Linked DNA regions of Saccharomyces cerevisiae S288C. The gene in region 1 interacts genetically with each later gene. Each region holds a gene or a part of one and is shown in the gene's direction. Other genes may lie near its edges. The genes, in order: PFA4, SSD1, THR4 and HOM3.

What was found.
Region 2: mutations in PFA4 (region 1) and SSD1 together harm fitness more than expected from each alone (negative genetic interaction), as found in Saccharomyces cerevisiae (4 studies listed by BioGRID, with this or other methods).
Region 3: mutations in PFA4 (region 1) and THR4 together harm fitness more than expected from each alone (negative genetic interaction), as found in Saccharomyces cerevisiae (3 studies listed by BioGRID).
Region 4: mutations in PFA4 (region 1) and HOM3 together harm fitness more than expected from each alone (negative genetic interaction), as found in Saccharomyces cerevisiae (2 studies listed by BioGRID).

What each region holds. Positions count from the first base shown.
Region 1 is NC_001147.6:319,276-326,228, reverse strand, and holds PFA4 (palmitoyltransferase PFA4), read left to right. Parts: upstream 1-3,234; coding exon 3,235-4,371; downstream 4,372-6,953. Other genes in the region: PHO80 (Pho80p), read right to left, coding at 99-980; IZH2 (PAQR-type receptor), read left to right, coding at 1,865-2,818; transcriptional regulator SIN3, read right to left, coding at 4,681-6,953. UniProt on the Saccharomyces cerevisiae protein: Mediates the reversible addition of palmitate to target proteins, thereby regulating their membrane association and biological function. Palmitoylates several amino acid permeases.
Region 2 is NC_001136.10:1,043,581-1,052,765, reverse strand, and holds SSD1 (mRNA-binding translational repressor SSD1), read left to right. Parts: upstream 1-3,373; coding exon 3,374-7,126; downstream 7,127-9,185. Other genes in the region: HDA2 (Hda2p), read left to right, coding at 1-143; sphinganine-1-phosphate aldolase DPL1, read left to right, coding at 538-2,307; SRP101 (signal recognition particle receptor subunit alpha), read left to right, coding at 7,755-9,185. UniProt on the Saccharomyces cerevisiae protein: Can suppress the lethality due to deletion of SIT4, and partially the defects due to BCY1 disruption. Is implicated in the control of the cell cycle G1 phase.
Region 3 is NC_001135.5:213,084-220,420, forward strand, and holds THR4 (threonine synthase THR4), read left to right. Parts: upstream 1-3,613; coding exon 3,614-5,158; downstream 5,159-7,337. Other genes in the region: ARE1 (sterol acyltransferase), read left to right, coding at 1-678; YCR050C (uncharacterized protein), read right to left, coding at 381-689; YCR051W (uncharacterized protein), read left to right, coding at 988-1,656; RSC6 (Rsc6p), read left to right, coding at 1,911-3,362; CTR86 (Ctr86p), read right to left, coding at 5,293-6,984. UniProt on the Saccharomyces cerevisiae protein: Catalyzes the gamma-elimination of phosphate from L-phosphohomoserine and the beta-addition of water to produce L-threonine.
Region 4 is NC_001137.3:254,525-261,710, reverse strand, and holds HOM3 (aspartate kinase), read left to right. Parts: upstream 1-3,752; coding exon 3,753-5,336; downstream 5,337-7,186. Other genes in the region: YER053C-A (uncharacterized protein), read left to right, coding at 665-778; PIC2 (Cu/Pi carrier), read left to right, coding at 2,072-2,974; JHD1 ([Histone H3]-lysine-36 demethylase), read right to left, coding at 5,577-7,055. UniProt on the Saccharomyces cerevisiae protein: Phosphorylates aspartate, the first step in the biosynthesis of amino acids that derive from aspartate (the aspartate family of amino acids), including methioinine and threonine, the latter of which is a precursor to isoleucine.

The sequences.
Region 1 (6,953 bases):
CACACAGATATATATATATATATATATATATATGTACAAATGGAAAGTTTTAATTTTGCTCAATCATGATTGCTTTCATAATACCCCACGAAAAATCATTAATCTGGCTTTGATCGCTTGTTATAGATATGTGCGTCCTTTGCCTCAGAATATCGCTTTTGTGAAGAGTGAGAATTGGGTGATGACGACCCCTTTAGTTGAGTAGTTTGGGAGCCACTTTCACTCACTATATCAATATTTGGCGGGAGAACATAATCAACCTTTCTACTCTTATCAGGTGAAGCGTTAAAGGAACCCACCAGCTGAACTATTCTTCGATAGTATTTATCTAGAACATTATATCCACTTTTTGGACGATTAACGTAAGAATAAGAATCCAAATCGAGAGACCCTAATGCGTTTTTATCTATGACAAACTTTTTCTGTTTTTGCTCTATACTACATAACGTAATGTTATGATCCCGCGGAATGATTCTGTAGTTTACTCTCTTTAAAAAATCGTTCTCCAGTATATTCAATTCGTGACATCGTACTCCTCCAACTTTTGCATAATGGGCGTTTGTTGAGAACGAATCACATAAGCCTTTTGTTGCGACTGTGGTGGCTGTTAATAAAAACCTATGGGCAGTCAACGAATTAAGCGTAAAATCAGGATACACAGTTTGCAATAAATCGATATAATAGAGTGATGTCATAAGCACACAATGTTCTAAAGAGGAAAACTTTGTCAGTCGTATGAAATAGTTGAAGATTGATATGTTTGGAGGAATCTTAGAATGGTATCGTGTTAAAGTAATTTGGTCATCAGATTTCTTTGTTGCTGAATTTTCATTGATTGCTATCAGCGATACTAACATTCGTGATATGAGCACCACTAGGTCAGTTCTAGAGCATTTATTAAAATCAGCGGGCAGAATTACTTTTGGTATCCCTTGATCCTCATGTATATTTTCGGAACGTTCTCCTGATGTGCTTTCCATGATTTCTATGAGTCTCCAAAGGATATCCTCGTCTTATGATAGCTTGCAGACTTAAATTTGATAAACACTTATAAAAAGAAAGGTTATCTGCCTCTCGAAGTATATAACTGATCACTGGAACGCTATTGGAAACAATACGGATGATAAAATTGGAATATAAATAATCTTAAGAAGAAAAAAAAAACAGGTAGGAGCTATAATCGGCTAAAGAGAAAAGAAGAAAAGTTGCAGTGTATACGGATGAGCACTTTCAAAGTAATATGGCTATTTATGATGGCTTGGGGCATTAGATTAAAGGAAAGCCAATATACGCTGAATAACTTTCTGAAGTTTGAATCCTTTATTCATCAAATGAAGAAGAGATCCTAGGATGAGTATGGAGACTGATTGTTTGTTAAAATCTTATAACCCGTATGTGTTTCCAAGGTGGTTTACAGAAGCCTCAGGCTCTCACCTACGGGTTAAAATCTGACTATGGTACAAGCACGTTCGCCTCATTCATATTTTCCATAGAAAGCGGACTCAAATTTTGAAACCGCATTTTAGAAAGAAAAACTCGATAGCATGTTAAATATTTTAAAGAATACCATAATTCGTTAAAAATACAAAAGTGTACTGATATCGTACTTCCTCTAGGGTAGCACTACCTTGTTTAGGCCAGAAATTAAGTAACAAACTTTTCTTGTTTGCTTCGAGTATACTAAAAAACAGACACTCGGGGTTAATAGGCGGTCTTCCGTTGTTGAGCTCTTTTTTTTTTAGAAATCCAACATCTCTTCGAATAGTAGATTAGAAATAGTATTTATGTCAGCGTTCCTTGAGCCAAATGTACTAAATTTCCCGTCGTTTTAATTATGCTGCATGTTGGAGAAGAATCATTCCAAATGTCAACTTTATTAGAAAGGACTAAGAGTGTGCAAGAGCTGAAGAAGAGAGCTGCAGGGAAAACATCCGCAAATCCCGCAGAGGTCGCTAAAGCTAAAAAAGTACTAAGAAGGCTATATAGTTGGGATGAAATTCCGGAATGGCAAAGAGACAATGATTTTATTTTACATGGATACGTGAAAGAAACTAGTAGCTTCATTGAAACTTTTAAAAGTTTGTTTTATTTGCATAATGAAAGTGTCAATATTTATTCACATTTAATTCCTGCTCTCGGGTTCTTCACTGTACTGTTGCTAGATAAATCTACTATCAAAGTGTTTGCAACAACTACATGGCTAGATCATATGGTAATCGACCTCTTTTATTCGGGGGCGTTTGCATGTTTAATATTGAGTAGCTCCTTTCATTGTCTAAAGAGTCACTCCTTAAGAATTGCTACCTTAGGAAATAAGTTGGACTACCTTGGTATTTGTATATTGATTGTTACGTCAATGGTCAGTATTTTGTACTACGGCTATTTTGAGAAATTTTCCCTATTTTGCCTATTTGCGCTTATTACCGTTAGCTTTGGGATCGCGTGTAGTATTGTGTCACTAAAAGATAAGTTTCGGAAAAGAGAGTGGAGACCTTACAGAGCTGGGCTATTTGTTTGTTTTGGTTTATCCTCAATTATTCCAATATTCAGCGGCCTTTACTGCTATAGTTTTTCAGAAATTTGGACCCAAATTCAGCTCTTTTGGGTATTACTTGGGGGTGTCCTATATATAATTGGCGCTGTTCTTTATGGAATGCGGTTTCCTGAAAAGATTTGCCCCGGTAAATTTGATATTTGGGGTCATTCTCACCAACTTTTCCATTTTCTAGTTGTTATTGCGGCATTGTGCCACTTGAGAGGTTTATTAAATAGTTATGAGTTAGTCCATATAAAGATGGAGAACGGGATTGTCTCCTAGATATTTGGAAAAAACGTAGGATTTATATAGAAAGTAGTTTTAAAGTTAAAATAATAAAATGGTTCTTATATGTGAGAAGAGAATAAAGAAAAAGGCCCTTACAATAATATGTTCAAATATAGAAAAGAAATTCCCAGATAGAAGGGAAGCAGGATTTGTGCACTTTCTCATATGAAATATACACGACTTTAGCGTCTCAGAGGAACATTTTTCTTACTAAGAGCTCTCAATTTAAAATACGGCTTATTTCCACTATTTATTGGCTGTCTCATGTATATTTTTATTATCCTGTTAAACCTACCTCTCTTACTACGCGCTTATGAAAAATAGCGGATCTGAGATACGATAATTATCGTCCCTACATTGTGGTGATGGTGTATAACATGAATTTTAAAAACTGAGTTGATCGTTAAACCATGCCAGTAAAGTTAAGGTGGCCTTGGTTAGGAATTGCTATACCAACGTTTCTGATTTCATTTATAGGCTATGGTGCACACTACTTTATTTTATCCAATTTCTTGTCAGTTCCGAAACAAATAACATTTGAGTTCTGTTTGTCAATGATATGGCTCTCCTATTACTTGGCCATCTGCACAAATCCAGGAAGGCCTTTGCCCAACTACAAACCACCCCCTGATATCTGGCGGAATTTCTGTAAGAAGTGCCAAAGTTATAAGCCAGAACGTTCACATCATTGTAAAACCTGCAATCAATGCGTCCTAATGATGGATCATCATTGTCCGTGGACGATGAATTGCGTCGGCTTTGCAAACTATCCGCATTTCCTTAGATTCTTATTTTGGATCATAGTGACGACTAGTGTTTTATTTTGCATACAAGCTAAGCGGATATATTTTATTTGGCAACAAAGGCACTTGCCTGGCTACTTCTTCAAAAAATCAGAACTGATTTTCTTAACAATATCGAGTCCTTTAAATTCTTTTGTCCTACTAACGATAACAATTCTTTTCCTACGATGTTTATTCAATCAAATCTTGAATGGAAGATCTCAAATTGAGTCGTGGGATATGGATCGGCTAGAATCTTTGTTCAACTCCGGAAGATTAACTCAGAAATTAATTGATAATACTTGGAGAATATATCCAGAGTCGAGGTCGTTTCAAAATAAAAAGGATGCTGAGGAACACTTGACAAAAAAAAGGCCACGTTTTGATGAACTTGTAAATTTCCCTTACGATTTTGATTTGTACACTAATGCATTACTGTACCTTGGTCCCATTCATTTATGGTTATGGCCATATGGTGTTCCTACGGGAGATGGGAACAATTTTCCAAAAAACGGTATTTCAAAATATGAGGCTAACTCCTCATTGGAAGACCACATCCTTTCACTTCCCTGGCCACCAGATGGAGGTAAAACAAACACCGTCTTCAATCATGGCAGCTCAACAATAGAGATGCGTAATGAAAGTGGCGAACAGCTAATAAGGACCAGACTTCCTCAAAATGGCAGACATGCTTCTCGTGAGAAGTGGTACAACGACTGGGGTGAATCACTAGACGATTTTGGAGTGGATGTTGATATGGAATAGAATACTCATTCATGGGAATATCAAGTATATGTATGTATAAACTGTCCCTTATAAATAGTGTCCTTTCGATTACATACTATGCTAATGACGTGTAAAAAGATTCATGCACCAGTGTATGAGTACACAAATATAACCACTGCATGTTATCACTTCTTCCTTTATGGAAAGATCGATGTGTCTTAAAAAGCTTCAAAAACACTTAGAATTTTAAAATTACAATGTTATATCGTTGACATTAATTAAAGGTACACATCAGAAGAAAGACCCTGTCGTACTAAAGATTTTTGTTCTAAATCTAGTTAAAACTACTTATTGAATCTTAGCCCCCTTGTCTGAAGATTCAGTATTCCCAGTCGTTTCTATATTATCATCTTGTGGTACAGTAGTAATGGATGCAGGCAGTACACTTGCAGTAGAGCTGTCCAAATTATCCGACTGCTCCTGTTTCGTAATTTTACCTTTTTCGGTTTCACTCTCTATTCCCTGGTTTCCAGCACTCGTCTTTGCTATGCTGTCTTTTAGGTTCTCCCATTTTTTTTGCATACTTAATTTTTGAGCCTCATCTAAATTATTTCTCAAACCAACTGCACAGTCTAGAAATTTTGATATCAACTCCTTCTTCTGAGAAACCATTCCTTTTTGAGTATTATCATTAGCAATAGTAGGATATTTGTTAGTAGCCTTACGGGTAAAAACATCGTAAGACCCGTTTTCAATATGCAGTTGGTAGGTTATAGGCTGGATCTTAATTTTCAATGTCGATACAGAGATGCCTTCGGGGGAAAACTCCTCATCTACCTCTGTTCCATCAATATCTTGTCCAAATTCGATGAGCCTTTCCAAAAATGGTATCTTCAGTTTCTCGTGCGGAATGCCTTCTGTTGGATGTGGCAGAGCATACGATGTTACATAATATTTCCATTTATCTTCGTCTGCCTTTGGTTCCTTTAGTGTCAAATCATCAAGTGCAATATATTGAATGGAAACATGCAGAGTTCTTTTATCAAACTCTATTCTAAACATATTTTCTGTGTTGGACATATGTGAGCGCACCTGCAAGCGATAGATAATTTGGTCCTTCGCACTCGTGGTGGAGGCATTTCTATCTTTAACGAACAAAGCCATTATTTCCGCAGTTTTAGCGTCAGTCATCAAGGTATGAGCATGCTTTACCAACGATTGGGTGACTTTATCAATTGTATAGAGTTTAAACGCTTTGTTATTGTAAGCTTGCCGCAAACTCTCTTCAAACCACTGATGTTCAAGATCCCCATTAATCAACCTTCTACTCAGTCTTAAAACCTGTTTGTACGCGTCTTCACCAACAAAATCTAGTCCCATTTCGGAAAGTTGACTCGATAATAAATCTAGATCTTTGGCAAAAGTAACTGTCGACCTTGTGTTGATTTCCTTTGTGACCCTTTCATTCATTTGCTTAATTTCCAAAAGCCGCTCATAAATCGTTGTCCAATGACGGAAAAATATGTAAATATTCGTATTAGCGAATAGATTAAAAATACTGCGATTTTGGATAATACCCTGAGAGTTTGCTTCCTCCACTAAATTCCCAGTTAGCCACGGATTTTTAGCTTCTTCATCGATGAGCTCTTCCTCCTCAATGGTATTAGGTTCTTCTTCGGGTGGTTCAGAGAGCTGGGGAACTTTGCCATCTTCATCATTAGAACGCTTTAGCTTTTGATATCTGCTCCTGTGTAAAATATCAAGTAAACTCATTTCTTGTTGATAGGGCCTCTTCCTTGATGCAATAGAACTGCCATCGTCAGATCCGCTAGATTCTGACACGTTTTGCTTATGGGAGTACAACGATTCTTCGATTTTTTCGAAAGAAATAGAAAAAAACAAAGAGATGAAGTATTTTAGTAAATCTTTCAATCTTTCTTTATCGGGATTAGAATAGGCTGTGGTATGGGTTATAAAAGTGTCAGCCAAACACAAGATATCATAGAAAATGTTTTTATCAGGGAAATCAAAATCTAACTGGCTCTTTGGTTTAGGAGTTAACCAGTGAATTTTTTTGTTTGTTTGATCAACTTTGATGCTGCTAATCTCTGATATCAACTGCTTTGTAGTTAATAATTTCTTGTCAGCCTGTTTAAATGTTAAGCCTAAATGATCTAATGACTTGAAAAAAACCTTCTGTTCTAACTCCCTCCAAACTTTATTCCATTCACGTTGAGCTCTTCTCCATTCTTCGTCTTTTTGCTTTAACCTTTTCAGAACGACTGGGGCTGTCACTGCAGGGTGCTCATGCAAAGCATCAATAATCTCGAACCCCCTTTCCTTATCATAAACTTTCCTTATCACTTTTTTATAAATAGTCATTGAAGTATGGCCAAGACCTGGAGGCAGTTTAAAATTGGCTTTTTCATTCTCAGTCATGTTCTCGATCTTATTTACAATTGTTTCCAAACATTGAATAGTTCTTAAATTTGATTCAATGTAAAAATCATACTCATGTCTTTCCTCTTCGATCTTGAATAGTGTTTCCTCATACTGGTTTTTACGATGAGCAATAAATCCCGAATCTTCGGAAGCCCATACAGGATGTCCAACCCATTCAT
Region 2 (9,185 bases), on another chromosome or scaffold:
GAAACAAATTCTTAAAGAATTACATAACCTTAATGAACCGACAGTACGACTTAAAAAACAAAAACAACGTCCAGGTGGAAAAAGCTGCCGCAAATGGTACACGGTTTAGATCAACAAGATCCAATACCCCTAATTACACATGAATGTGACGTTTCCTAAAAGAAGTAGCCTGTATAATATAGAGAGATTTTATATACTTTCTTAATGAATTAGACTGTTTCTACAAGTATTTGACACTGGAAAAAAAGAGAAAGTACATAGAGATTGGCCAAATATTTAAATCTACACAGTTGCCTATCGTTTATCGCCTTATTCTTCAGAAACATTTCATCAACTACTCTGGTGCATTATTTCATGTTAGTTACCATATATACCGGCCGGCCGCATCGGGGTTTTTTGATTGAAAAAATTGGTATATTTTCAGTACACATATAAATAAAACCCTCAATTTGCCTCTCCAACCGTTATAACTATTCCAGATCCTCTTTACCGAGCAAGTAGGCTAGCTTCTGTAAAGGGATTTTTCCATCTAATACAATGAGTGGAGTATCAAATAAAACAGTATCAATTAATGGTTGGTATGGCATGCCAATTCATTTACTAAGGGAAGAAGGCGACTTTGCCCAGTTTATGATTCTAACCATCAACGAATTAAAAATAGCCATACATGGTTACCTCAGAAATACCCCATGGTACAACATGTTGAAGGATTATTTGTTTGTGATCTTTTGTTACAAGCTAATAAGTAATTTTTTTTATCTGTTGAAAGTTTATGGGCCGGTGAGGTTAGCAGTGAGAACATACGAGCATAGTTCCAGAAGATTGTTTCGTTGGTTATTGGACTCACCATTTTTGAGGGGTACCGTAGAAAAGGAAGTCACAAAGGTCAAACAATCGATCGAAGACGAACTAATTAGATCGGACTCTCAGTTAATGAATTTCCCACAGTTGCCATCCAATGGGATACCTCAGGATGATGTTATTGAAGAGCTAAATAAATTGAACGACTTGATACCACATACCCAATGGAAGGAAGGAAAGGTCTCTGGTGCCGTTTACCACGGTGGTGATGATTTGATCCACTTACAAACAATCGCATACGAAAAATATTGCGTTGCCAATCAATTACATCCCGATGTCTTTCCTGCCGTACGTAAAATGGAATCCGAAGTGGTTTCTATGGTTTTAAGAATGTTTAATGCCCCTTCTGATACAGGTTGTGGTACCACAACTTCAGGTGGTACAGAATCCTTGCTTTTAGCATGTCTGAGCGCTAAAATGTATGCCCTTCATCATCGTGGAATCACCGAACCAGAAATAATTGCTCCCGTAACTGCACATGCTGGGTTTGACAAAGCTGCTTATTACTTTGGCATGAAGCTACGCCACGTGGAGCTAGATCCAACGACATATCAAGTGGACCTGGGAAAAGTGAAAAAATTCATCAATAAGAACACAATTTTACTGGTCGGTTCCGCTCCAAACTTTCCTCATGGTATTGCCGATGATATTGAAGGATTGGGTAAAATAGCACAAAAATATAAACTTCCTTTACACGTCGACAGTTGTCTAGGTTCCTTTATTGTTTCATTTATGGAAAAGGCTGGTTACAAAAATCTGCCATTACTTGACTTTAGAGTCCCGGGAGTCACCTCAATATCATGTGACACTCATAAATATGGATTTGCACCAAAAGGCTCGTCAGTTATAATGTATAGAAACAGCGACTTACGAATGCATCAGTATTACGTAAATCCTGCTTGGACTGGCGGGTTATATGGCTCTCCTACATTAGCAGGGTCCAGGCCTGGTGCTATTGTCGTAGGTTGTTGGGCCACTATGGTCAACATGGGTGAAAATGGGTACATTGAGTCGTGCCAAGAAATAGTCGGTGCAGCAATGAAGTTTAAAAAATACATCCAGGAAAACATTCCAGACCTGAATATAATGGGCAACCCTAGATATTCAGTCATTTCATTTTCTTCAAAGACCTTGAACATACACGAACTATCTGACAGGTTGTCCAAGAAAGGCTGGCATTTCAATGCCCTACAAAAGCCGGTTGCACTACACATGGCCTTCACGAGATTGAGCGCTCATGTTGTGGATGAGATCTGCGACATTTTACGTACTACCGTGCAAGAGTTGAAGAGCGAATCAAATTCTAAACCATCCCCAGACGGAACTAGCGCTCTATATGGTGTCGCCGGGAGCGTTAAAACTGCTGGCGTTGCAGACAAATTGATTGTGGGATTCCTAGACGCATTATACAAGTTGGGTCCAGGAGAGGATACCGCCACCAAGTAGCTATATAGAATCAAATCTCATACATAATTTAAAGAACGAGAGTGCAATGTGATGATTGTGATTCCTGATCCTATGTCACGGACGACGACTTGTATCACCTTGAATTTTCTGACCAAAGGGGCCGAGTCGCTTCACGAGGGGATGAGAAAGGAAAAGAAGGGAAAACTAAACTTATATAACGCAGGTGTGTCTTTCTACCATTGCCATCAAGTTATTAAAGGCCACGAACAGGAACGCTAGAGACCTGAGTTTGTCATTTGTTTAGTTCAAGGATTAAATAAACAATCCTTCTACAAATAAGTCCTTTCTTTCACCATCGTCTTAAGACCACTGCCTCCAACGAAAACTAACCTAAAAGAGTTTAGATCACGAGTATTTTCGCTCTTTCCCTCCTTCCCCTGGTTTTTTCTCGTTAGTTCTTTTCATTTAAAAACTCTTCTCTTGTCAAGAATTTAAAAGACGAAGAGTCCAACACCGACTGATTTTCTAACAGCAAAGGAACGAAGTTTTGCCGTGCAAACAATAATTTCTAAATTATAATTTTGAGCCTAGCTGAGAAATAGGAGAGATTATATTTTAGAAAGGTAAGAAGTTTTTCTGTCATTCCTTTTAGAATATTTGCTACGTTCTAACATTTTTTGTTACTCAAGCGCATTTTCTGCAACTTCCCTTATAAGCTATTTCCTTTTTTTGGGACCGATCCTTTCTTCTGTCTTTGGTAACCTAAAAACCGGAATAGTCAAAGTTATCTGCATAGTCTTCTTGCCAGGCTTATTTTCGCCATACCATTTTTCTGGTACCCTAAACATTTTGGTCTTATTTTAGAACAGCTGGTGCCTCGTTTTTCCGCATTAGGCGCACTTTTTTCATAGCCACTATTCTAAAAGAAACAACTTTTTTTCAAAGGGAAATCTAAGTTGCCTGCACGAAGAATAAGACAAGGGTTCATAAACGTATAGTATTTGCCAAGTTCCATCTTTTTCTTTGTCACTTTAATATCGCAAAACAGAACACCAAAAACCTTTCAGCGCAAAGATTTGGCCCAATTATTCCATCTTTATACACTATGTCTAAAAATAGCAACGTTAACAACAATAGATCCCAAGAGCCAAATAACATGTTTGTGCAAACCACAGGAGGTGGTAAAAACGCCCCAAAGCAGATTCATGTTGCACACAGACGTTCCCAAAGTGAGTTGACAAATTTGATGATTGAACAATTCACTTTGCAGAAGCAGTTGGAGCAAGTTCAAGCACAGCAGCAACAGTTGATGGCTCAGCAACAGCAATTGGCACAACAGACAGGACAATACCTGTCAGGAAATTCTGGCTCTAACAATCATTTCACGCCTCAACCGCCTCACCCTCATTACAACTCAAACGGTAATTCACCTGGTATGAGTGCAGGTGGCAGCAGAAGTAGAACTCACTCCAGGAACAACTCCGGATATTATCATAATTCATATGATAACAATAACAATAGCAATAATCCTGGGTCTAACTCACACAGAAAGACGAGTTCACAATCCAGCATATATGGCCATTCCAGAAGACATTCTTTAGGTCTAAATGAAGCGAAAAAGGCTGCTGCGGAAGAACAAGCTAAAAGAATATCTGGGGGTGAAGCAGGCGTAACTGTGAAGATAGATTCTGTTCAAGCTGATAGTGGCTCAAATTCTACTACAGAACAATCTGATTTTAAATTTCCACCACCACCAAATGCTCATCAGGGCCATCGTCGCGCAACTTCAAACCTATCACCTCCCTCTTTCAAATTTCCTCCAAACTCTCACGGGGATAATGACGATGAATTCATAGCAACCTCTTCAACGCACCGCCGTTCAAAGACAAGAAACAATGAATATTCTCCAGGCATTAATTCCAACTGGAGAAACCAATCACAGCAACCTCAACAGCAGCTTTCTCCATTCCGCCACAGAGGATCTAATTCAAGGGATTACAATTCCTTCAATACCTTAGAACCTCCTGCGATATTTCAGCAGGGACACAAACATCGTGCCTCTAATTCATCAGTTCATAGTTTCAGTTCACAAGGTAATAATAACGGAGGTGGACGTAAGTCCCTATTTGCACCCTACCTTCCCCAAGCCAACATTCCAGAGCTAATCCAAGAAGGGAGACTAGTAGCTGGTATATTAAGAGTTAATAAAAAGAATAGATCGGATGCCTGGGTCTCTACAGATGGCGCTCTTGATGCGGATATTTACATTTGCGGCTCCAAAGATCGTAATAGAGCACTTGAAGGTGATTTAGTCGCGGTAGAACTATTAGTTGTGGACGATGTTTGGGAGTCCAAGAAAGAAAAGGAAGAAAAGAAGAGGAGAAAGGATGCCTCTATGCAACACGATCTAATTCCTTTGAACAGTAGTGACGATTACCACAACGATGCATCTGTTACTGCTGCAACAAGCAACAATTTTCTATCTTCTCCCTCCTCGTCTGATTCGCTAAGCAAGGATGATTTATCCGTCAGAAGAAAGAGGTCATCTACTATCAATAATGATAGTGATTCCTTATCATCTCCTACCAAATCAGGAGTAAGGAGAAGAAGTTCATTGAAACAACGTCCAACTCAAAAGAAAAATGACGATGTTGAAGTTGAAGGTCAGTCATTGTTATTAGTTGAAGAAGAAGAAATCAACGATAAATATAAGCCACTTTACGCAGGCCATGTCGTTGCTGTTTTGGACCGTATCCCTGGTCAGTTATTTAGCGGTACATTAGGTTTGTTGAGACCATCCCAACAAGCTAATAGCGACAATAACAAACCACCACAAAGCCCAAAAATTGCTTGGTTCAAGCCTACTGATAAGAAGGTGCCATTAATTGCAATTCCTACAGAATTAGCTCCAAAGGACTTTGTTGAAAACGCTGATAAATACTCCGAAAAGTTATTCGTTGCCTCTATTAAACGTTGGCCAATCACATCTTTGCATCCATTTGGTATTTTAGTTTCCGAACTTGGAGATATTCACGATCCTGATACTGAAATTGATTCCATTTTAAGGGATAACAATTTTCTTTCGAATGAATATTTGGATCAAAAAAATCCGCAAAAAGAAAAACCAAGTTTTCAGCCGCTACCATTAACGGCTGAAAGTCTAGAATATAGGAGGAATTTTACGGACACTAATGAGTACAATATCTTTGCAATTTCCGAGCTTGGATGGGTGTCTGAATTTGCCTTACATGTCAGGAATAACGGAAATGGTACCCTAGAGCTGGGTTGTCATGTTGTTGATGTGACCAGCCATATTGAAGAAGGCTCCTCTGTTGATAGGCGTGCGAGAAAGAGGTCCTCTGCGGTGTTCATGCCACAAAAACTTGTCAATTTATTACCACAATCGTTCAACGACGAACTGTCGTTGGCCCCTGGCAAGGAATCAGCCACGCTGTCGGTTGTTTACACTCTAGACTCATCTACTTTAAGGATTAAATCTACTTGGGTAGGCGAATCTACAATTTCCCCCTCAAACATCTTGTCTTTAGAACAATTAGACGAAAAATTATCTACTGGAAGTCCCACTAGCTACCTCTCTACTGTACAGGAAATTGCTAGATCATTTTATGCTAGAAGAATAAATGATCCAGAAGCTACATTACTTCCCACCCTGTCCTTATTGGAAAGCTTGGATGACGAAAAAGTTAAGGTTGACTTGAACATCCTGGATAGAACTTTAGGCTTTGTTGTAATTAATGAGATTAAAAGAAAGGTCAACTCCACTGTTGCAGAGAAAATTTACACCAAACTTGGTGATCTAGCTCTTTTGAGAAGGCAGATGCAACCCATTGCAACCAAGATGGCGTCATTTAGAAAGAAAATTCAAAATTTTGGTTACAATTTTGATACCAATACGGCGGATGAATTAATCAAAGGGGTGCTAAAAATTAAAGATGACGATGTTAGAGTCGGAATTGAAATTTTACTGTTTAAAACCATGCCAAGAGCTAGATACTTTATTGCTGGCAAAGTAGACCCGGACCAATATGGGCATTATGCCTTGAACCTACCTATCTACACACATTTCACAGCGCCAATGAGAAGATACGCTGATCATGTCGTTCATAGGCAATTAAAGGCCGTTATCCACGATACTCCATACACCGAAGATATGGAAGCTTTGAAGATTACCTCCGAATATTGTAATTTTAAAAAGGACTGTGCTTATCAAGCACAGGAACAAGCAATTCATCTATTGTTGTGTAAAACAATCAACGACATGGGAAATACTACAGGACAATTATTAACAATGGCTACTGTCTTACAAGTTTACGAGTCCTCCTTTGATGTATTTATTCCAGAATTTGGTATTGAAAAGAGAGTTCATGGAGATCAACTACCTTTGATCAAAGCTGAGTTTGATGGTACCAATCGTGTCTTGGAATTGCATTGGCAGCCCGGCGTAGATAGTGCAACTTTTATACCAGCAGATGAAAAAAATCCAAAATCCTATAGAAATTCCATTAAGAACAAATTCAGATCCACAGCCGCTGAGATTGCGAATATTGAACTAGATAAAGAAGCGGAATCTGAACCATTGATCAGCGATCCATTGAGTAAGGAACTCAGCGATTTGCATCTAACAGTACCAAATTTAAGGCTACCATCTGCAAGCGACAACAAGCAAAATGCTTTAGAAAAATTCATTTCTACTACTGAAACCAGAATTGAAAATGATAACTATATACAAGAAATACATGAATTGCAAAAGATTCCTATTCTATTGAGAGCTGAGGTGGGGATGGCTTTGCCATGTTTAACCGTCCGTGCATTAAATCCATTCATGAAGAGGGTATAATCTCTTCTACCAATATCGTCATTGCTGTTTTTCTTGTTTTTCACTTTCGTTCTTTGGATTGTGCTTCACCCCTCAGTATCCCTTCCCTTTGTTTTTATTTCCTGCGAACATTAACAACTGCATGAATTTTGTACTTCTCCTTTTAATCCACGTTCCGGTAAGGCATCATCCAAATTTTTTTATTCGACCTCGTTAAGTCATATATTTTTTCCCAAAAATACATAAAACAATAATGCAGCCTTCTTTTCAATATTTACAACTTTTCAATTTATATTGTCTTTTGTTATTTATACTCTTATATATTAAATTTATTCCGTTACTAAATACCCTTTTGCTGTACAAATATCATCAAAGAGAAGTACTGAAAGCTTACTTTTTATGCGCTGGGTAATTTTTCCGGAAACAATAACGAAATCATCGTCGAGCAATTTTGCTCGTACTTCAGAAACTACTGCGTAAACATTTGAGGTCGTACAATAAGTAGATAGAAATAAATAAACCAATTTTTCGTCAGCGTTTAATCTGTAGCCAAAGATTTGTGGTATTCTCACAGTTTGAATAATATTCAGCTACTTCATCAAGTAGTTTTTTTCAATAGGAGATTCACGGTTCAATAAGTGCATTGATTATGTTCGACCAATTAGCAGTCTTTACCCCTCAAGGTCAAGTACTTTACCAATATAACTGTTTAGGAAAAAAGTTTTCTGAAATACAAATTAACAGCTTTATATCCCAGCTGATTACTTCCCCAGTAACTAGAAAAGAAAGTGTTGCAAACGCAAATACAGACGGATTTGATTTCAATCTTTTAACAATCAACAGCGAACACAAAAATTCTCCTTCATTTAATGCACTATTTTATTTGAATAAGCAACCAGAATTGTATTTCGTAGTGACTTTTGCCGAGCAGACTTTAGAGCTTAATCAAGAAACTCAACAAACACTTGCACTGGTGTTAAAACTCTGGAACTCATTGCATTTAAGTGAATCCATTCTAAAAAATCGTCAGGGCCAAAACGAAAAGAACAAGCATAACTACGTCGATATTCTTCAGGGAATTGAAGACGACCTGAAGAAATTTGAGCAATATTTTAGGATAAAATATGAAGAGTCAATAAAACAAGACCATATCAATCCAGATAATTTTACCAAAAATGGATCAGTACCCCAATCGCATAATAAAAATACCAAGAAAAAATTGAGGGATACAAAAGGTAAGAAGCAATCTACAGGAAATGTTGGTAGTGGGAGAAAGTGGGGCCGTGATGGTGGCATGCTTGATGAAATGAATCATGAAGATGCAGCCAAATTAGATTTCTCATCATCCAACAGCCACAATAGTAGCCAAGTAGCTCTAGACTCCACTATTAATAAAGATTCTTTTGGGGATAGAACAGAAGGAGGCGATTTCTTAATCAAAGAAATTGATGATCTTTTGTCTTCTCATAAAGACGAGATAACTAGTGGGAACGAAGCTAAAAATTCTGGATACGTCAGTACAGCTTTTGGATTCCTTCAAAAACACGTTCTAGGTAACAAAACGATCAATGAAAGTGATTTGAAATCTGTATTAGAGAAGTTAACACAACAATTGATAACCAAAAATGTAGCACCAGAGGCAGCAGACTATTTAACACAGCAAGTCTCACATGATCTTGTAGGCTCAAAAACTGCAAATTGGACCAGTGTTGAGAATACTGCTCGTGAATCTTTAACAAAAGCATTAACTCAAATATTAACGCCTGGTGTATCCGTTGATCTCCTCCGTGAAATTCAGAGCAAAAGAAGCAAAAAGGATGAAGAAGGTAAATGTGATCCCTATGTGTTCTCTATAGTTGGTGTTAATGGTGTTGGTAAGTCAACAAATCTTTCAAAGCTAGCGTTTTGGTTACTGCAAAATAATTTCAAGGTCTTAATTGTTGCTTGTGATACGTTTAGGTCTGGTGCAGTTGAGCAACTAAGGGTCCATGTTGAAAATTTGGCACAGCTAATGGATGATTCACACGTTCGTGGCTCCAAGAACAAAAGGGGTAAAACTGGTAATGACTACGTTGAACTA
Region 3 (7,337 bases), on another chromosome or scaffold:
GTGTACCAGATCAACTACCCAAGAACGTCGCGCATCAGATGGAGGTATGTGTTGGAGAAGGTGTGCGCCATCATTGGCACCATCTTCCTCATGATGGTCACGGCACAGTTCTTCATGCACCCGGTGGCCATGCGCTGTATCCAGTTCCACAACACGCCCACCTTCGGCGGCTGGATCCCCGCCACGCAAGAGTGGTTCCACCTGCTCTTCGACATGATTCCGGGCTTCACTGTTCTGTACATGCTCACGTTTTACATGATATGGGACGCTTTATTGAATTGCGTGGCGGAGTTGACCAGGTTTGCGGACAGATATTTCTACGGCGACTGGTGGAATTGCGTTTCGTTTGAAGAGTTTAGCAGAATCTGGAACGTCCCCGTTCACAAATTTTTACTAAGACACGTGTACCACAGCTCCATGGGCGCATTGCATTTGAGCAAGAGCCAAGCTACATTATTTACTTTTTTCTTGAGTGCCGTGTTCCACGAAATGGCCATGTTCGCCATTTTCAGAAGGGTTAGAGGATATCTGTTCATGTTCCAACTGTCGCAGTTTGTGTGGACTGCTTTGAGCAACACCAAGTTTCTACGGGCAAGACCGCAGTTGTCCAACGTTGTCTTTTCGTTTGGTGTCTGTTCAGGGCCCAGTATCATTATGACGTTGTACCTGACCTTATGAACTGCCACCATACCACGTGTGTCCCTCGCAAGCCCTTGATAGATATACAATAGGGAATGGGCGTCCGCTCCACCGTGGTCAAAGACAGGGGCAAAGAGCTCCTAGGTCTATATATATATCTATATACATATTTATATATATTATTAGAACTTTACAATATAGTATATACCATTCATTGTTTAAGTTTCGGGTAATACTTTTTTTTTCCTTGTCATAACCCCAAAAATTTTCGATGCCTTTGATATAATTGAGAACAAGAAGAGTTTGCAGGTGACAAAAATCGATGATTATAGGTGTTGTGACGACAAAATGAACGCTAATATATGGGTGGCTGCTTCAGATGGTAATTTGGACCGAGTGGAACATATCCTCCGCGAGAGTAAAGGCGCCATGACCCCGCAATCCAAGGACATTAACGGCTACACTCCAATGCATGCTGCCGCCGCATACGGCCACCTGGATTTGCTGAAGAAAATGTGCAATGAGTACAATGGAGACATTAATGTGTTGGACAACGACGGCGATACCCCGTTGCACCATGTGGAGGATGTGGCCACTGCCAGGTTGATCGTGGAAGAGCTGGGTGGAGACTTCACTATCAGGAATGTGGAGGGCCAAACGCCATACGACTCGTTCGTCGAGAACGGTGAAGATGGTGAGCTAATCGAGTACATGAGGATTAAGTCCGGCGTGGCCGATGTTCACGGAGTGGACGGCGTGCAGGGTGAGGGTGTCATCGACAGCAAATTGCTGGAAGAGTTCAAGGACAACGTGAGATACACCTTGGAAAATGACCCTGAGGAAGGAGCCGATGAGGCCACTCTGCAACGCAGGAGGCAGTTGGAACAGATCATTACGGGAGACAACGCTGAGGAGGAGTTGGAAAGGTACATCCGTGCTATGGTCAGAGAGCAGATGCTGGGCCAGGGCTCCATGGCGGGTTCCGGGGACGAACCAGATTCCAAGAGAAGAAAATAACGACCCAGCACAAAGGCTCTTACAGCTTGCTAAAAGAAATTGAACGCGACGCTACATGAACTACTTCTTTCTCTTACATAGTCTTTTCCCTTATGTATCTTTTCTGTACATTAATAGACGTTCTTACAAGGTAAAATTTCACCGCGTTTTTAAATAGAATGAAAAAAACGTTGTAGAGTGAAAGAAAAGCAACAAATATACAGTTCACAAGGCAGCTTCGTATAGTAATACAGCACGAAAAACAGCTCATAGAAATGGTAACACAGACCAATCCGGTCCCTGTTACATATCCAACGGATGCTTATATCCCCACGTATCTGCCCGATGATAAGGTCTCCAATCTGGCAGATTTGAAAAAATTGATAGAAATGGATTCCAGACTAGATTTGTATCTGACAAGAAGGAGGCTGGATACGTCCATCAATTTACCTACAAACACCAAGACCAAGGACCATCCCCCCAATAAAGAGATGCTGAGGATTTACGTCTACAACACTACGGAAAGCAGCCCTCGCAGCGATTCTGGCACCCCAGCGGACTCAGGCAAGACTACATGGACACTGAGAATAGAAGGTAAGCTTCTGCACGAGTCCGCAAACGGAAAGCACCCATTTAGTGAGTTTTTGGAAGGTGTCGCGGTCGACTTTAAAAGACTGAAACCGCTGGGCATGGGCAAGAAGAGGAAACGCGATTCGTCATTGAGCCTTCCTTTGAATCTGCAACAACCCGAATACAATGATCAAGATAGCACCATGGGCGATAACGACAACGGCGAGGATGAGGACAGTGCAGAGGCAGAATCCAGGGAGGAAATTGTAGACGCACTGGAATGGAACTACGATGAAAACAACGTTGTGGAGTTTGATGGTATCGACATCAAGAGGCAAGGCAAGGATAATTTGCGATGCAGTATAACCATCCAGTTGAGGGGTGTCGACGGTGGAAAAGTACAGTACTCGCCCAACTTAGCTACCTTGATAGGTATGCAAACGGGCTCCGTTAATGACGCGGTTTATTCGATCTACAAGTACATTTTGATCAACAATCTGTTTGTTACGGAACAAACAGAGGCTCAAGATGGTTCCAACGATGCCGAAGACAGCAGTAACGAGAATAACAATAAAAACGGTGCTGGTGACGATGATGGCGTCGAGGGAAGTACTCCAAAGGATAAGCCCGAATTGGGTGAAGTGAAGCTAGATTCACTCTTACAAAAGGTATTGGATACAAACGCCGCGCACCTCCCCTTGATGAATGTTGTGCAAACCGTGAACAAACTGGTATCACCCCTACCGCCCATCATCCTAGATTATACAATTGATCTTTCCAAAGATACCACCTATGGTGCTACCACCTTGGATGTAGATGTGTCGCACATTCTCCACCAGCCTCAACCCCAGCCAAATTTACAAAAAGAGGAAGAAACAGATGCTGAAGACACAGCAAAACTACGTGAAATCACAAAGCTTGCCTTGCAGTTGAACTCTAGTGCTCAAAAATACCAGTTTTTCCACGAACTGTCTTTGCATCCAAGAGAAACGCTGACTCACTACTTATGGTCTTCCAAGCAAAACGAGCTTGTGCTGCAGGGCGACCAATACTTCAATGAAGATGCTGCAAGAACGAGTGACATATACAGTAACAACAACAATGACAGGTCACTAATGGGCAATATCTCACTACTGTACTCCCAAGGAAGACTATAACATCACTGTATGATCTCATTCTTTCTGCAATTATTGCACGCCTCCTCGTGAGTAGTGACCGTGCGAACAAAAGAGTCATTACAACGAGGAAATAGAAGAAAATGAAAAATTTTCGACAAAATGTATAGTCATTTCTATCAATAACGTATACACGTTTTTTTAATACTATCTATATTGTGTATCTTATATTTTTCCATTTGGTAGTATAGCAGCAAATATTTGTTCTTAGACGGCCACCATCCCTCACACCAATGCCTAACGCTTCCCAAGTTTACAGATCTACCAGATCCAGCTCTCCAAAGACAATCTCTTTTGAAGAGGCTATCATTCAAGGTCTGGCCACTGACGGTGGTCTTTTCATTCCACCAACTATTCCACAAGTGGACCAAGCCACTCTTTTCAATGATTGGTCAAAGCTCTCCTTCCAAGACTTAGCCTTTGCTATCATGAGACTATACATTGCCCAAGAAGAGATTCCAGATGCTGATCTAAAGGACTTGATCAAGAGATCTTATTCTACTTTCCGTTCTGATGAAGTCACCCCCTTGGTGCAAAACGTCACTGGTGACAAGGAGAATTTGCACATTTTAGAATTATTCCACGGTCCTACCTACGCTTTCAAAGACGTTGCTTTACAATTTGTCGGTAATCTTTTTGAATACTTCTTACAAAGAACCAACGCCAATTTACCTGAAGGCGAGAAAAAGCAAATCACTGTGGTCGGTGCTACTTCCGGTGACACTGGTTCTGCAGCCATCTACGGTTTAAGAGGCAAAAAGGACGTTTCCGTTTTCATCTTATATCCAACCGGTAGAATTTCCCCAATTCAAGAAGAACAAATGACCACCGTTCCAGATGAAAACGTCCAGACTTTGTCTGTTACCGGTACTTTCGACAACTGTCAAGATATCGTCAAAGCTATTTTCGGTGACAAAGAATTCAACTCTAAACACAACGTCGGTGCTGTTAACTCCATCAACTGGGCAAGAATCTTGGCCCAAATGACCTATTACTTTTATTCATTCTTCCAAGCCACCAACGGTAAGGACTCCAAGAAGGTCAAGTTCGTTGTGCCAAGTGGGAACTTCGGTGATATATTGGCCGGTTATTTTGCCAAGAAAATGGGTTTGCCTATTGAAAAACTGGCCATCGCTACCAATGAAAACGACATTTTGGACAGATTTTTGAAATCTGGTCTATACGAAAGATCAGACAAGGTTGCTGCTACTTTATCCCCAGCAATGGATATCTTAATCTCTTCTAACTTTGAAAGACTACTATGGTACCTAGCTCGTGAATACCTAGCTAATGGTGATGATTTGAAAGCCGGTGAAATCGTCAACAATTGGTTCCAGGAATTGAAGACCAACGGTAAGTTCCAAGTTGACAAATCCATCATTGAAGGCGCATCAAAGGACTTTACATCAGAAAGAGTTTCCAATGAAGAAACATCTGAAACAATCAAGAAGATCTACGAATCATCTGTAAATCCAAAACATTACATCTTAGATCCTCACACAGCTGTCGGTGTTTGCGCCACAGAAAGATTGATTGCAAAAGATAATGACAAGTCCATCCAATACATTTCTCTATCTACCGCTCACCCAGCTAAATTTGCCGATGCTGTAAACAATGCATTGTCTGGATTTTCCAATTATTCATTTGAAAAGGATGTTTTGCCTGAGGAATTGAAGAAACTATCCACATTAAAGAAGAAATTAAAATTCATCGAAAGAGCTGACGTTGAATTGGTCAAAAACGCTATTGAAGAAGAACTTGCTAAAATGAAATTATAAGATCTTCCTTTTTAATGAATATATTTTATCTTATATAACATATAGAATTCTATAATTAATAGAGAGTATGAAGTACGATTATCCTTAATGTTAATCAAAGTGAATCATGATTGCGAGAGTAAGGAACCATAAAATTAATCTTCATCTATGCTAATAATCTCAGAATTCTCGTTCCCAGGGTCTTCTTCTTTAGATACTAATCTAACTTTCCCGCCCTTTTCAACTGATATTTCAAACCCAGCTTTGCTCAATGCATCGTCTTGAACAACGTCTTGAGCTTCCATTTTTTTGACATATTCCTGATTCTTGGCATTATTCTTTAACAAAAACTTCAAGCAAACAATAGATCTTTCCTTGATAAACGGATCATTATCATCGATGACACAATTGGAAAGAATTAATGCAAGACCACCTAATTCTCTTATTTGATCTTGGATTTCAGGATGTGCATACACTAACGATGCCAATATTTCGATTATTACTAATTTACAATGGGGAAAATTATCAGCCCTAATAAAGGATTCGTTGGTATTAACACGGTTGAAAATTAATAACCGGTCCTCGATTTTGTTACCTTCATGATCTGTGATTTTAATTTCATTCACCGTATCACCGTTTCCTTTCAAAAAATTAATCCTCAACAAATTCTTTTGGAAAGTATCCAAGAGAGATACCAATATTTTCACAGAGTCATACGAAATTAAGAATTTTCTAACATGATTGAATTTGCACAAGTCAGAAATTATGTCCAGGCAAGAAAGTAAAGTGGAGTGTAATTGGATGGCAACTGAAGGAGCATAATCGTTACAACTTTTATTGAAAAAGGCAGGAATATCCTTGCATGCAAGACGTTGCAGAATGGGGTAGCACCATGACATAATTGCAGTCAACTCATAGGTATTCCAATCTTCTTTACTCGTTACAACCAATTGCAATATCTGCAACAAAGTGGTGAATTTTCCTGGCTGTCTTTCTTCTAACCCATTGAGGTATTTACCAAAAGAAGCAGTTGTAAGACTTTTGCTAATACATTCTAAGACAGATAGGTCAATAGAAGTTATTTCCAATTTTGAATCATCCAGATAGTTTCTGCCCTTCTCAATTAAAAAGGAATTCTCTTGATCCTGGATGAATTTGGCTGTCACTATATCGAAAAATATTCTATCCCTAACACAATAATAGTCTTTCTGGGGTGTATCATTATCCCTGAAAAATTCGTTGGAAAATTCATCATTGTTGAGATACGTCTTGAAAAGAAATAAATATGGTAGCCAGAAATGCTCTTCTTCTTCACCGTCTTCCAATTTGATCCCATAAGGGTATTGAAGAAATTGTAAAAGAGCTGGAAAAGTAGTCATATCCACTGTAGAGTAGTTCTGCTGTATATTGAAAAGGCACGTTAAACATGCGATGTATAGATGTTTGATTAGCGGAGTGTCAACGACATACTCACTAGTTGCATGCAGAAAACCACGAATTACGAGGTTTTGTAGTAAAAGCTTTTGGGGTATTTCCTGGTTTTCAGCGGCAAGGTTTCTCATCATTAAGATAAGGCCCCTCACTGTTCTTGTATACGGTATTGAGCTATTCTCATTTAACGACGCTGGCAACAGCATTGCTTCCAAGGTGTCTCTTAATCGTTCCCAAAAAAGCTGGGAGTTAGCCATTGATTTCCTATGTTCTTCATCATTAAACGTCCTTTGAAATATACGGTTCAGGTTTTCGACGATTGGCTCATAATCCTCGACGCAACATGGGTCGTTCTTCATCATGGTAATGATTGAATCAAATAAATTGAATTCATCTAGAAAATTGTTCATAGGCATTGTTATTTAGTTATCTTCTTTTTTGATGAATCAATAATTTTATAAGGCTTAGTGTAATTGTTCTCCCGATGATAGTATGAAACGGTAGTCGATAAATTTGTGTCAAATTTTTTCCTCATCCCATCAATTCTTCATTTTTTCCCTTCCTATTTTTTTTTTTACTGAAGCGATGATGCCTTATATATAAGGAAAATAGCCTCGTCAGTCAAAGGACGACTCCCGTAATGGTAGCCTCAGTTTATATTAGGCGCTCTCATCATGATGTATATCGATATTGGCGATGATATTTTTTTTTGTTGATATTAAATACAAATGTAATGCTTTATATAGTTCTATACTTGGGGAATACATGA
Region 4 (7,186 bases), on another chromosome or scaffold:
GAAGAGAAAACTAGGGGTTGCTATGACACGACCACGGAAGGCCTAAAAAGTTAAGTGACAGAAATCGTCATTGGTAAAAAAAACCCCGAACATGCCGATAAAGACTTGCTTATTCACCTACGATGACTTCAGAAGTGCGCCTATATTTCTTTACTTTTGAACACCCTTCCACCGCCCATTTAGAGAGAGCTATTTTTGTGCCTTCACTTCCGGCAGAGGTTATATTTTTTTTTTTTTTTTTTTTTTGCATACTACTCCTACTTCTTTCTACAGTCTCATCCCGACGCTTCAGTTTGAAATGTAAGGGACTGCGGCATTTGACTGAAAGAAGGGAGAATGGATGGTTTACTTTACTTTTTACGTAATGAAAAAAAAAATGATTGCTGTATTAGGACATCCCTGTTCTTTTATGTGGTAGCCTATATCCGATAACTGTTCAGCTATAAGACGTGAAGAGAGATTTTTTGGTACCCCTTATGCATTCAATTAAATAGAGAATTAGATATTTCTACCGATGTGCATTTTGTATATAAAGAAGTAGGAATCCCTTCTACAACGACAGAGGTAGACATACTGCTTGGAAACATTCTTTTCGTCCTTTTACAGAATTCTACATAGAAATAATAAAAACAAACAATAGCTTTACTACACAGTACACACTACAATGCAAGATTTAGAGATTTTTTTGAGTATTTTCGCTTTCATTTTCGTTTTCTACTTTGGTGCTCATAGAACAGTCATGAACAGAAACAAGAGCGATGTTCCTTACTTGCAGTGATTTAAATCAGCTAATCTGCTTACTGCCGCCAAGAGAGGTATGCAAAGTCAGTTCTACCTAGTCTGGCTTAGCGTTTTACTATTTACGAAGTTGATGTTCTGTTTTCTAATTTATCTTTTTTCTACTCATTCATTTCCACACTACACTTAATATTTTTTCAATAATTTTCGATGTTTTTAATCCGGTTTTCTATTGATGAGCGCCTTCTTAGCTCATACTTAATACACGTTTTTTAAGATTTATACGTTTGACAGCTCACGCTGTTTGACCAAAGTTATTTTCATTTTTATGTTCGTAATTATGTATTTTTGCTATTGTATATGATATACGTCTATATTTAGGCAATTATAATATGATTATAATATAACTTACTACATCTCTAAAACATGCTGTCTAGCCCTTCCATCGCAAGACTCGGCTAGACATTCGAGGAAGGCACAAAAAGCCACCTATCCCCATCTCTCCAAAAAGCTTCATTTCGAAAATAAGAAGGGAAACATCCGAATAAGACTAAAACTTTGTTCCTTCAATGACTACTAAGTTATTAGATGTCAGAAATCCCGCAAAATCGCCCGCATATCAAGGTAAGCGGCAAAACCCTATTCTTGAAAAAATGTAAATACTAACCGTGTGAGAATTTTAACGGTGTATTCCAAAAAGTCAGCACGTGATCTGCTAAGAAATCCGAACCTCGGCCTTTGTTTTTTTTGTTACAGCATAGGGAAAAGACGCATTGTGTCAAAAAGGAACATCGTACCATTACCCTCTCAGCACATAGGTAATAAGGTGACAAGTAGCAAGTGAAAAGTACCGCTTACGAAGAATACTTTAATTCAACGTAGATACTGCAAAATATTCAAGTCATTATTTTTGGCCCTTAACTTGCCTTTCCAGTTCTTAGATTCATTCATATGCTAGCTAGCAACAACGGTCACTTTGGGTTGCATTTCACAATCTCATTCGGCTAAGATCTCGGCTAACCAAAAGTTGGACTTCAGGGGTATTAGCGAAATAAGGAGATCTTTTTTAGGTTTATTCCTTGTTTTTAGTTTCATTTTGCTTAATAAAAAGGAAAATGGATATATCGATTTTCTGCATACCCTGTTACATTTGATATAAATACAGCGGGACCTACCAAATATACTTTCATTTTGCTTGTGTTTTATAGATATTTTATTTTTTTTTCCAGGCAGTCAATGACACATTGTTAACTGAAAGTGTTCTGTTATTGTTTTAATTCTAAAAAAATAAAGTAAGGGAAAAAGAGAACGGACTCATTGACAGTTGTAAAGCATGGAGTCCAATAAACAACCACGTAAAATCCAATTATATACGAAAGAGTTTTATGCCACATGTACCTTAGGTGGTATAATTGCGTGCGGTCCAACACATTCTTCGATCACTCCACTAGATCTTGTCAAATGTAGGCTACAGGTCAATCCCAAGTTGTATACTTCAAACTTACAAGGGTTCCGTAAGATTATAGCTAATGAAGGCTGGAAGAAAGTATACACTGGGTTTGGTGCTACATTCGTCGGATATTCGCTACAAGGTGCAGGTAAGTATGGTGGTTATGAGTATTTCAAGCATTTGTATTCTAGTTGGTTAAGTCCTGGTGTCACTGTGTACTTGATGGCCTCAGCGACCGCTGAATTCCTCGCTGATATCATGTTGTGCCCATTTGAAGCTATTAAAGTGAAACAGCAGACTACTATGCCGCCCTTTTGCAATAACGTTGTTGATGGATGGAAAAAAATGTATGCAGAAAGTGGAGGTATGAAAGCATTTTATAAAGGTATTGTTCCCCTATGGTGCAGACAGATTCCTTACACAATGTGTAAGTTTACCTCATTCGAAAAAATTGTTCAAAAAATATACAGTGTTTTACCTAAAAAGAAAGAAGAAATGAACGCATTACAGCAAATATCAGTCAGTTTTGTAGGTGGTTATCTGGCAGGTATATTATGTGCTGCAGTCTCACATCCTGCAGACGTTATGGTTTCCAAGATCAATAGCGAAAGAAAGGCCAACGAGTCCATGTCTGTAGCCTCTAAAAGAATATATCAAAAAATTGGCTTTACTGGGTTGTGGAATGGGTTAATGGTGAGAATTGTCATGATCGGTACTTTGACAAGTTTCCAATGGCTAATTTACGATTCGTTCAAGGCTTATGTAGGCTTACCAACCACCGGTTAGCTGATCGATTCAATCGGCAAGGTTTATCGTAAACACTCTGTGCTAGAGGAATATTGTATACACAGGATTTCATAAAGTTAGTAAATGACCGGCATTTATAGTTTGTTCTTCTTTGCATATGTCTTAATAAATATTCGTCCTACAATTTCTTTTCATACTAAGAGTTTTGTTATGATTGCCAAATTTCTCAAGCCAAGAACAGGCCCAGGAAAACTTTGAAAGTGCCATATCAGAAACACATTTATAAGGTAGTTTCGATATACGGCAATACTCGATGCATGCCCAAACTTGCCAGCCGCTCGCGATTGAATCTTCTACAATTTTTAGGTGAACATATTCAGAGGCTGAGGCCTTATTTGATAGTAACATCAAATATCACTCCCACAATTTACAATCACTGTCATTGGTCTCACAGGATCCTTTTCTTTCTAGAACTCCCCTAATATCAACTTTTTACTCTACTGTGGCTCTAACCACGTGTATTTTTCAGGCCCATGACTCACCTTTTCTTTCTTTTTCACTAGCAAACGAAAATTTCATCATCACTTTTTTTTTTTTTCACTTTCCGTACGCAGTCTTCTCCAGAGATTCTTTTAGCTTCGAAGAAATAATGTATAATATCCATATATAAGAATACTGCTGGATAATTATTTTATTTCTATTTTAACAGTGCTCTACTCATTGAAGGATATTTGTGTAGCCAATACTCTCTCCATCGCTTAAGCTCACATAGCTATCGCATTTTATCACAGAAGCTTTCATTTTTTTTAACTTTTACATGCCAATGGATTTCCAACCTACATCAAGTCATTCGAACTGGGTCGTGCAAAAGTTCGGTGGTACATCTGTCGGTAAATTTCCCGTCCAAATAGTGGATGACATTGTGAAGCACTATTCTAAACCTGACGGCCCAAACAATAATGTCGCTGTCGTTTGTTCCGCCCGTTCTTCATACACCAAGGCTGAAGGTACCACTTCTCGTCTTTTGAAATGTTGTGATTTGGCTTCGCAAGAATCTGAATTTCAAGACATTATCGAAGTTATCAGACAAGACCATATCGATAATGCCGACCGCTTCATTCTCAATCCTGCCTTGCAAGCCAAGTTAGTGGATGATACCAATAAAGAACTTGAACTGGTCAAGAAATATTTAAATGCTTCAAAAGTTTTGGGTGAAGTGAGTTCACGTACAGTAGATCTGGTGATGTCATGTGGTGAGAAGTTGAGTTGTTTGTTCATGACTGCTTTATGTAATGACCGTGGCTGTAAGGCCAAATATGTGGATTTGAGCCACATTGTTCCCTCTGATTTCAGTGCCAGCGCTTTGGATAACAGTTTCTACACTTTCCTGGTTCAAGCATTGAAAGAAAAATTGGCCCCCTTTGTAAGTGCTAAAGAGCGTATCGTTCCAGTCTTTACAGGGTTTTTTGGTTTAGTTCCAACTGGTCTTCTGAATGGTGTTGGTCGTGGCTATACCGATTTATGTGCCGCTTTGATAGCAGTTGCTGTAAATGCTGATGAACTACAAGTTTGGAAGGAAGTTGATGGTATATTTACTGCTGATCCTCGTAAGGTTCCTGAAGCACGTTTGCTAGACAGTGTTACTCCAGAAGAAGCTTCTGAATTAACATATTATGGTTCCGAAGTTATACATCCTTTTACGATGGAACAAGTTATTAGGGCTAAGATTCCTATTAGAATCAAGAATGTTCAAAATCCATTAGGTAACGGTACCATTATCTACCCAGATAATGTAGCAAAGAAGGGTGAATCTACTCCACCACATCCTCCTGAGAACTTATCCTCATCTTTCTATGAAAAGAGAAAGAGAGGTGCCACTGCTATCACCACCAAAAATGACATTTTCGTCATCAACATTCATTCCAATAAGAAAACCCTATCCCATGGTTTCCTAGCTCAAATATTTACCATCCTGGATAAGTACAAGTTAGTCGTAGATTTAATATCTACTTCTGAAGTTCATGTTTCGATGGCTTTGCCCATTCCAGATGCAGACTCATTAAAATCTCTGAGACAAGCTGAGGAAAAATTGAGAATTTTAGGTTCTGTTGATATCACAAAGAAGTTGTCTATTGTTTCATTAGTTGGTAAACATATGAAACAATACATCGGCATTGCTGGTACCATGTTTACTACTCTTGCTGAAGAAGGCATCAACATTGAAATGATTTCTCAAGGGGCAAATGAAATAAACATATCCTGCGTTATCAATGAATCTGACTCCATAAAAGCGCTACAATGTATTCATGCCAAGTTACTAAGTGAGCGGACAAATACTTCAAACCAATTTGAACATGCCATTGATGAACGTTTAGAACAATTGAAAAGACTTGGAATTTAAATCCACCTTTCTTCTTCACTTTAATGATAGAATATTAATTTTCCCTTTATATATATATATATATATATATACGCGCACATATATTTACATATATATTAATGTTTTGTAACCTATATTGGGGCGATTATTCCCTAAATGTAATGTCAGGGTTATACTGTATCAATTGCTAAAGTAGATCTCATTCATCGAGAGCATAGGATGAAATAAAAGATACAAGAACGTGGCGGACAAGAAGAAATTTTACGAAATAAGATCGGCTAAAGCTTTCGCTAAATGCTTCTTTGAAGTGAAATTTAACGGCTTGTACTTAACTTCAGGTTTTATAACGTATGCATGAAGTGATTGAATTGCGCAATTAGTGGTCCTGGAAAGCAAATCCCCATCACTGACATCACTAGTGATTTTATTTTTATCAAGCGCAAGATACTCGCATAATTTACCCATCACTTGATCAAACTTCGGGAAGGTAAATCTTCTAGGAACCTTTGTTAACTTTTCAATTTCCACAATTTTAAGGTGTGTCTCCAAATCACGGATGGTTAAAAAGTTGCCTCCAAATACCAAAGAGTCTACTGGTGTATAAACTGCATGAATATATCCAGCTGGAATCATAAACAAATCACCAGCATCTAATTCCATCGCAATACCATCCTCAAGAATATCACCGAGGAAAACACTATTTTGGTCTTCTTTTAAAGACCACTCAATATACTTATCTATGTTTGATTGGGTAGGTGGAAATAATAAAAACTTCTTCTGTCCTGAGATAACGTTATAATAAACAGAGGTACCGGCAAAATCCAAATGAAAATCCGTATAAGCATCCTTTACAGACATCAAAATATATTTGGTCACTTTTGGCTTGGGGTCATTCTCCTCCGCCTTCTCCCCATTGACTTTTTCTAAATGTCCATTGAAACTCCAAATTTTATCAACAAGATCATTCTGCCTAACTGCAGTGGGCCTCTCTAGTTCTAATCCCTCAATATTAGAGACTTCTAATGATATAACATTCCTTATTCGATCCCTCCTGTCTGGTTCAGTATTTGTAAAATATTCATTCCAAGATCCCAAGTTCCAATTTTCATTCATTTGTGATTGAACGTCCATTACATCAACATGATAATCCTCGCCTATCATTTCGGTGATATAATTAACTGTGAGGCATCCATTGTCTGTGCCCACATTCGGTACATATACTCCGCTATTCAGTGGATCGATGATCTTGTACGGCACATCTATATTATCAAACTTTTCAGCAAAGTCAGCGGCGTTTATAATATTTGAGCCATTTTTCCATTTTTCAAAAGATTTCATGAAACTCTCCTTATGAGGGTGATTCATTTTATCCCTTTTCGATTCACCCTCATTCAAAGCGATATAGTCAAGTAATTTCTTCTTTCTGAAATTATACCGCTTATTTATATGACTATCTTCAGGGTTTTCTTTATTCCTTTGCCGCTTTCCTTTTTGTGTGATGAGAGCGTATGCGGTAAGATATTCTCCTTCCTTATGATTAGGACAACGGTAGCTCTTGATTTGCTTCGCAGAATTTGGATAAGACAGAACTTCAGAACTTGTAAGATTTGAATAGTGAATGCGTTTCAAAGGCACGCATTTCACGTGGACCCACTGCGGGCAACTATCACACTTCACCCAAATTAATGCGCCTGGATTATCCTTCAACTGGCAATGCTGGCAAATATTGGGATCTTGCATTGCACCATAGCTTATTAGTATTTTGTTTTATGATCATTACGTCTTCTTACTCATTATAATCACCCACTTCTATTAGATGTTCTATTATGCCTTTAAATTGCATTGTAGGGTAACCTGTTGGGGGAAAAAAT